Macaca fascicularis: one gene and its partner. The protein of the gene in region 1 binds, or shares a complex with, the protein of each later gene. Links are inferred from orthologs where the notes say so. Each region holds a gene or a part of one and is shown on either strand. Other genes may lie near its edges.

Region 1 (4,278 bases):
AACCCAGGAGGCGGAGCTTGCAGTGAGCCGAGACTGTACCACTGCACTCCAGCCTGGGCGACAGAGCGAAAATCTGTCTCAAAAAAAAAACAAGAAAATCTTCTGGATTCCACACCCTTCACCATTTATGCCCCCATTTCTCTACTCCTCCATAACCAAACTACACATGTTGTCTCCCAATCTCGTATCACAATCACTTTTGCTTTATGTTACAGATTGATTTCCAATAGCAAACACTTACTTGTATCTCTCATAAACACTGACAAAATTAACACTGCTAAATACTAAACACATGGTATTATCCAAAGTTCCTGAATGAAATGATTCAGTTCCATATCCTTTTTGTCACAGTAAACTATGCAATTTTATATGGACACATTAACTTTTTTTTTCTTTTTTTTGAGACGGAGTCTTGCTCTGATGCCCAGGCTGGAGTGCAGTGGTGCGATCTCAGCTCACTGCAACCTCCGCCTCCTGGGCTCAAGCAATTCTTCTGCCTCAGCCTCCCAAGTAGCTGGGATTACAGGCGCACACCACCATGCCCGGCTAATTTTTGTATTTTTAGTAGAGACAGGATTTCGCCATGTTGGCCAAGTTGGTCTCTTAATTCCCCACCTCAGGTGATCCGCCCACCCTGGCCTCCCAAAGTGCTGGGATTACAGGTGTGAGCCACCGCGCCCGGCCTGTATGGACACATTAACTTCCCTACAACTATCACAGAAATTTCAAACCCCAGGTTCAAACCCAGTATCTTCTATGGCCATAATAACCTCTACTTACTCTACCTTAAGCCTAGATATACCATCCAATGAGAAGATTCTGAAGTGCTCCTTTACACTGGTATTATCAAAGTTTCAAGATATAACACCCTCTAACATCAGGTGGGGCAAGTATTCTATTAGAAGCAATATTATACTTAGAATTCGTGAGGTACTAAGGGCAGGCATGGTGCAGCCCTGAGTTTCCACCATGCCACAGTAGTGCATAGGATGATGCAGCCTCGACCTCCCAGGCTCAAGCCATCCTCCCACCTCAACCTCCCAAGCAGCTGGGAGTACGAGGCAAATGTCACCACGCCCAGCTAATTTTTGTATATTTTGTAGAGACAGAGTTTTGCCATGTTACTCCGGGTGGTTTTGAACTCCTGAGGTCAAGCAATCCTCCTGCCTTGGCCTCCCAAAGTGCTGGGACTACAGGTGTGAGCCACCACTCCCAGCCAACATTTTAAAACTTATAACATAAATTCAGATTACAGAAAAAGTGCATGCATATACAAAGAACACTTCATATTCTTCACTCAGATTCTCCAAATGTTAACATTTTCCTTCATTTGCTTTATTGGTTTCTCATTCCTTCACCCCTGAATACTTCAATGTGTTTTCCCAGGACAAGAATGTTTTCTTCTACCCACAGCACAATTACCAAAATCAAGGAATTAACATTGATCTGGTACTTCAAAACACAATTTTTGACACCTTACGTTTCATTCCACTCAAACCTTTTTAGGTGACGAGTGCTGCTCTGTACTTTCCTACACGATGTGCATTCCTGTACTTAGGTTGTCATTTTCCTAAGGCAACTACGTGACAGATACTGTTGTTTTATGGCCTCTCTAACATAATCTTCATAACAATTCTATGAATTAAGGTTGTTTGTTTTGTTTTTTGAGACAAGGTCTCAATCTGTCTCCCACGCTGGAGGGCAGTGGTATGATCAGGGCTCACCGCAACCTCTGCCTCCCGGGTTCAAGGGATTCACCTGCATGACCCTCCTGAGTAGCTAGGGACTACAAGTGTGTGCCACCACGCCCAGCTAATTTTTTATTTCTCGGTAAAGACAGGTTTTCACCATGTTGGCCAGGCTGGTCTGGAACTCCCGACCTCAAGTGATCCGCCCACCTCGGCCTCCCAAAGTGCTGGGATTATAGGCGTGAGCCACCACAGGGTCCCATGAATTAAGTTCTATTATCAATTTCATTTTAGAGGTGAAGATCCCAAGTCTCAATGAGGGGAAGTGTTGCCCCAGATCAAAAAGTTAATAAATGGTACAACAGGAATTCTTATCCCAGGTCCCTTTAGCTCCAAAGGGCAAGCTCTCTTATATCTCTAAGCCGTGAAGCATCTAATTGTACAATTAGAACTTGCATATTACAAAAATTATATTTTTCTCTACTGTCTCTCTAGATGGAACTTTTCAAAGGCGATGGAAGTCTTATTTTAATAAAACCAGAGCAAAGCATCATAACTGGTTCTCAGACTCAAGATCCAACATCTAGTGTTTGTTCTGGGGGAGAAGGCGCCTCACCAGAAGACGACAGATATTCCAGGGTCCCAGCCCCAGAGATTTGATTCATTCTGTCCACTGTGAATGGGCCCTGGTATGTCGCTTTAAAAACCTCTCCAGATGGACCTGACGATTAGGCTTGGTTGGGATCTACTGCCCTCGCCTGCCCCCGTATCTCAGCTGTTTCACAACTGCTCCCAGAAGAAGGAAGGGCAGGGAGGGCTACTCTCATGTTACAAAGGGCCAGAAAGGGCAAATAACTCGCCCAAGGCCACACAGCCTAGAAAAACAGCGGCGAGGGGACTAGACACCACGTCTCCCAACCTCCACTCCGGCTCGGCGTCCCCACACGGAGGAAGCCCTGGGACTGCAGCGCTAAGAGCCCCCTCCTCCAGGCTGTCCATCCCGAGACCTCCACGAGCGGCGGGGAGGCCGCGCTCTCGGAGAGACTCGGGACAGAAAGACGAGAGAGCGTCTTCGGAGGCCGAACTCCTCCATGCCTCCCCAGTTCCCAGCCCAGCACAGAGGAAACCGCGGGGTCCGGAAGAAAAAAACGCACACACGCAGGGGCCCCAAGCCGTTGCCGCCCACTCACCTCAACTCTGGCTTTACACTGGTAGCCGCCTTCCCCCTCTGCAGCCGAAACCAATTTCCGGTCTCCTCCTGGAAGAAGCCACCGACTCTGTCTTTGATTGGCTGTAGGAGCTGTCCTTTAACGAGATTCTAGATCCGCCTCAGACCGATCGCTCGCTATTGCGCCTGCGTATATTCGACTCCTGCCATCGCCACCCCTTTTACTGACTTTTAAAAGTAGTAAGTGAGGGTTGTTTCTTCGTTTCTTTAAGGCATAAAATTAAACAAGACATCTTATTGCTTTATTTTTTATAGACCCCTTATTGACTAGAAAAAATCTTATATTTTAATATGTAACATGCTCTTGTAAGACTTCCATGAATTTAGACATTTATGACGCGAAAATAACCTCCCAAAGAAAACCTAGCAAAGGTTGTTCGTGTGTTCCACCCGCTGCCCGCATTACAACTCTTCTGCTGACAGTCGCAGCTGGTAGTTCCATTCCTTTTGTCTTTTCTTTTTTAATTTAACCCATACAATGAAGACATCTTACATAAAAATTCGAAAATACAGATATGCAGGGTTTTTTGTTGGTTTATTTTGTTTTATTTTTTTTTTTTTTTTCTTTGAGACGGAGTGTCTTTCGCCCAGGCTGGAGTGCAGTGGCGCGATTTCGGCTCGCTGCAACCTCTGTCTCCGGGGTTCAAGCGATTCGCGTGCCTCAGCCTCCCAAGTAGCTGGGATTACAGGCATGTGCCACCACACCCGACTAATTTTTTTTTTTTTCCTTTTTTTGTATTTTTAGTAGAGACAGGGTTTCACCATGTTGGTGAGGCTGGTCTCGAGCTCCTGACCTACAGTGATCCGCCCGCCTTGGCCACCCAAAGTGCTGGAATTACGGGCGTGAACCACGTAGCCCGGCCTCCCCCATTTTAATTCCCCCGCACATATAAATTTATTTCCTGAAGAAATTCATCCTCACTGCTGACCCCAATATGTCCTGCACCCGTGACTTCCAATGCTTGTTCCCAGTCCTCGTTTTACTCCCTCTGTCAGCAGCATTTGGCACATTTGATTATTTGGATTGCCCCAGGACTCAGTTCTCCAACCACTTCTCAGTCAGATATCACCCAGATACATGCAGGCCCTGGAACACCGTTTCCTCTGCACTTCAGACCCTCATATCCAGTGGTGACAGACATCTTTACCCCGTTGCACTTTACTCAATTGCAAATGTTCAATCTAAGGAATCACCTTTTTCTCCTTTCTCCCATACCCCACCGAAACTACCATACCAGCCTTTTGCATTAGCTCTATTTAAAAATAAGTAAATAAAGTTCCAAATATGACTGACCACCGTCCCTACTGGTATGGTCCTATGCCATGCTGCCATTATCTCTCATCTGGATTTCTTTGATTTTT
Region 2 (4,470 bases), on another chromosome or scaffold:
CTTAAAACCCAAGTAAGGATACTGTGGCCAGGAGGCCACTATTCAATTGCGTCAAATATTGCTTTAGATGAGATCTGGAAAACGGATGAAGCATCTCAGAGGTCAACACTCCCTCCCTAGCGAGAAAATATCAAACGTCTTTCATCTCTCTCCCTCTTTGGCTGCTAAACAATGTGTTTTCTGCTCATAACACTTCCCATTCGTTTTTCAGTTCTCAACTTAAAAGGTCCTGCTGCAATCGGAGAAGCTTCTCAAGACCAATGCTATTGTTACCAGGGAAGCGACACTTTATCATAGAAAAATATTATTCTAAGAGTCTACTTAATTGACTCTCTACTGGGCTTGACTGTAAGGTCCTTAAGTCAGACGTGCCTATGTTGTTTACTTCTGTACCCAAACATTCGATAGAACTCCGAGCATAGTACAAAGCTCGTAGTGGGTATCCCATATATATTTACAAAACCAATGGATAAATGCTAGGGTGGAGCGAGCGATTACTGTTGGCCTAACTTAGGGGATGTGTAGAAGGGAGTGCCTAAAACTAGGAGTGGACGCGGAGGGCTCTGAACAGGGTTCAGTCTCCCATTCCATTACTTTTGCAAGTGTAATACGGACCCTTTGTTGACTCGAAGCAATTCCCCTGCCAGACACTTTTTAGCTGTCCACCCCGCCCCACTACTGGCCACTGTCTTCCTCGGATCTCATCCCAGACACTCACCCAGCCGCGTGGTGCGTTCCCGCGACGCCGCGGGCTTGTCCCCAGTCCCATGCTCGGCCTCGAGCTCCTCCTGTTGCTGCCGTGCTTGCTGCAAAATCCGCCGGCTCAGCCGGGGTCCCACATACTCTTCCTCCGTTTCTCCGGTCCTGCGACCCCGCCGCTTCTCCCGGACCCCTGCCCGCACCGCATTCCCAGCCAGGATCTGATCGGCCAGGGGCGCATGTTTTTCCTGACCCCCGACCCCACGGGCCGCCTTCAATTTGGGCATTTTTCTCGAAAACGTTGCCGCGGAGGTTCGCACGTGGAGACGGCGAAAAAGCCAGATTGCGCTTGCGCGGTGGACTCCCGGCTCTCAAGAGGCCACGCGGCGATCACAGCGCCCCCTAGCATTCGGAGGCCAGAAGCGCCATCAGCGCCGCCCCTCCCACTAAAAGAGCTCCCGGGTTCCGGTGCTGGACTCCCCAATATATTTACAGCCTTTAACGTTAGCTTCTCTCAACAGTGCAGTCTTTGAGTGTCGCTCTTAGCTTCATGGGTCTAGGCCTAGAGTGCTCAGCCAAACGAGAATGTCTGGATTTAGAAACCTGTGGGCGGGAATCCGCAGATGATGTCACTAGAGGTGTCACCGAGGGGCCCTGAGACCCGCCCCACTCCTTGGGGAAGGCGTGGACCCGGCGCTCTGTTTTTACGTATTTCCGGAGTCTCTTCCGAGACCGAAGGTTGTGTTGGGGAACTGAAGCAGTTTCTGTGGGCGGATAGGGAACCCTGCGTTTCTACCGTGTGATCCGGCCGCCTTCCTGGCCCGACGCCATGGGAGTGACTTGGTAGGACTGCAGGGGGTTTTGTAGGGCGGAGCTTGGAGTTGTGAAGGGCCGAAAAGAGGACCTTGACCGTGGTCCGCCGTCCCCTGGGAGCTGTCCTCGGGTTGTGTGGATGAGAGGATGCCGTGCGAGCCGCGGGTTCCCCGGCCTTGTTTCCTCGGAGATGCGCCCCTTCCTCTTGGAAGGCGGGAAAGCAAAGCGAAGTTTTTTTTTTTTTTTTTTTTTTTTCTTTAAGACGGAGTCTCGCTCTGTCGCCAGGCTGGAGTGCAGTGGTGCGATCTTGGCTCACTGCACCCTCCGCCTCTTGGGTTCAAGCGATTCTCCTGCCTCAGCCTTCCGAGTAGCTGGGACTACAGGCGCCCACCACCACGCCCGGCTATTTTTTGTATTTTTAGTAGAAATGGGATTTCACCATATTGGCCAGGCTGGTGTCGACAAAGCAAAGTTTTTTGTTTTTTTTTTTGTTTGTTTGTTTGTTTTTGAGACGGAGTCTCGCTCTGTCACCCAGGCTGGAGTGCAGTGGCCGGATCTCAGCTCACTGCAAGCTCCGCCTCCCGGGTTCACGCCATTCTCCTGCCTCAGCCTCCCGAGTAGCTGGGACTACAGGCGCCTGCCACCTCGCCCGGGTAAGTTTTTTGTATTTTTAGTAGAGACGGGGTTTCACCGTGTTAGCCAGGATGGTCTCGATCTCCTGACCTCGTGATCCGCCCGTCTCGGCCTCCCAAAGTGCTGGGATTACAGGCTTGAGCCACCGCGCCCGGCCGACAAAGCAAAGTTTTTATCCCAGGAACCTATCAATGGTTGTGTACCTCATTCCCTTCTAGATTTATTTTCCTTCCCGTGAGGCCATAGTACTGCCCGCAATGGGACGTCAGGGTTGGAAATAGGGTCTTTGGACTGTGACCCACCTGCAGACAGGGTTAGAGGGAGTGTGTTATAAGCAATCAGGAAACAGTATTTTTAAAGATTTTCTTTATTTTTCTTTATTTCTTTTTCTTTCTTTCTTTTTTTTTTTTTTGAGACGGAGTTTCGCTCTTGTTGCCCAGACTGGAGTGCAATGGCGCGATCTCGGCTCACAGCAACCTCCGCCTCGCGGGTTCAAGCCATTCTCCTTCCTCAGACTCCGGAGTAGCTGGGATTACAGGCATGCGTCACCACGCCCGGCTAATTTTGTATTTTTGGTAGAGACGGGGTTTCTCCATGTTGGTCAGGCTGGTCTCGAACTCCAGACCTCAGGTGATCCGCCCGCTTCGGCCTCCCAAAGTGCTGGGATTACAGACGTGAGCCACCGCGACCGGCCAAGATTTTTGCCTACCCTTCCCTCAGCCATCAAATGCAGTTAGACCAGCTTGTGTCTGTTTCTAATTTGCCCATTTTAAGATCTTGGGTCCAGAGGGAAAAAGAGGCTATTGAAAATAAGGAGATCATGGTTCCAGGCACTTTATCTCTTTAGGACCCGTTTCCCACTATGTTTAATTCCATGGTTAGTCTAGTTTCAGAGGAGTTTTTATCTTTCATAGGTTTTAAGTCTCCGTTGGAAGAAGATGAGGTAGCAGGGAAAGGTATGGGTCCAGTGCTTGTGGAGGCGTTAGTTGTAAGGTGCCAGGTCCCAGAACATTTTTTTCTTATCTCAGTAGATGTGAGCATTTTTCCCCGTGGGAGAAACCCAGAGGCCAGGATATCTGAAGCCAGTGGCTATAGGCTTCTCATACAAAAGCATGTGTAGGGGAAATACTTTTCCTCCTGGTAGCCCAGGTTCTTGCAGGTTTCTCAGTGATTGCACTCTTGTTTCCCACAGTTCACATCATGATCCTCCTGTGTTCCTTAATGGAAGCAAGATATGTGAGGGATGGAAATAGAAAGGATGCAGCGTAGAACCCTGGAACCCCATGCTCTTTTTTAAATAAATAGAAATGGGTTCTTGCTGTTTTGTACATCCAGGTCTTGAATTCCTGAACTCAAGCGAGCCTCCTGCTTTGGTGTCCCAAAGTATTGGCATTACAGACACGAGCCACCGTGCCCAGCCACCCCTGCTTTTTAAATGGAGAAGGCAGGCCGGGCGCGGTGGCTCAAGCCTGTAATCCCAGCACTTTGGGAGGCCGAGACGGGCGGATCACGAGGTCAGGAGATCGAGACCATCCTGGCTAACACGGTGAAACCCCGTCTCTATTAAGAAATACAAAAAACTAGCCGGGCGAGGTGGCGGGCGCCTGTAGTCCCAGCTACTCGGGAGGCTGAGGCCGGAGAATGGCGTAAACCCGGGAGGCGGAGCTTGCAGTGAGCAGAGATCCGGCCACTGCACTCCAGCCTGGGTGACAGAGCGAGACTCCGTCTCAAAAAAAAAAAAAATAAATAAATAAATAAATAAATAAATAAATGGAGAAGGCAGCTCCAGGGCAAGGGCTCTCTGTTGGCACCCTTATCAACGTTTTCAGAATCCTAGGACTTCTGTCCCTTGTAGCGTCAGTTTAGGGATTCTTTTATATTTCAACATAAGGCACATTAGCAACATTGTTTATCAGTGCTTTTTCTGATAGAGTAGTGACAATTTTTAGCAACAGAAGGACTCTACCCTAATAGATTCATTTAGTTGATCATAAAGCAATGTCATCTATGACTGTTTTCTTGATTTCTATATAGCTAAGTACTGCCTGTACTATTGTTTATTAATTTTTTAAATTGATCTTTTCCTTAAAAATGTTTTAACAGGCACTACATCCCTATACAGGCAGTCTAGTTAGTGGTTAAGAGCATGGACATGAAACCAGGTTGCTGGGCTTTGAGTCTTGGGTGTACCACGCATTAACTGTGTGACCTAGTGCAAGTTATTTAACCTCTTTGTACTGTACTTAAATTTCCTCTTTTTTTTTTCTTTTTGAGATGGAGTTTCGCTCTTGTTGTCCAGACTGGAAGGCAGTGGTGCGATCTTGG

What was found.
Region 2: MED7 (region 1) and MED20 share a complex: the UniProt entries of both Homo sapiens proteins name them as parts of the mediator complex. The link is inferred for Macaca fascicularis from reciprocal best matches to the Homo sapiens genes MED7 and MED20.

What each region holds. Positions count from the first base shown.
Region 1 is NC_088380.1:163,931,771-163,936,048, forward strand, and holds the start of MED7 (mediator of RNA polymerase II transcription subunit 7), read right to left. Parts: upstream 2,938-4,278; 5' UTR 2,879-2,937; exon of another isoform or gene 2,483-2,878; intron 1-2,482. UniProt on the Homo sapiens protein: Component of the Mediator complex, a coactivator involved in the regulated transcription of nearly all RNA polymerase II-dependent genes.
Region 2 is NC_088378.1:129,647,839-129,652,308, forward strand, and holds the start of MED20 (mediator of RNA polymerase II transcription subunit 20), read left to right. Parts: upstream 1-1,427; 5' UTR 1,428-1,528; coding exon 1,529-1,542; exon of another isoform or gene 1,543-2,165; intron 2,166-4,470. Other genes in the region: BYSL (bystin), read right to left, coding at 719-986. UniProt on the Homo sapiens protein: Component of the Mediator complex, a coactivator involved in the regulated transcription of nearly all RNA polymerase II-dependent genes.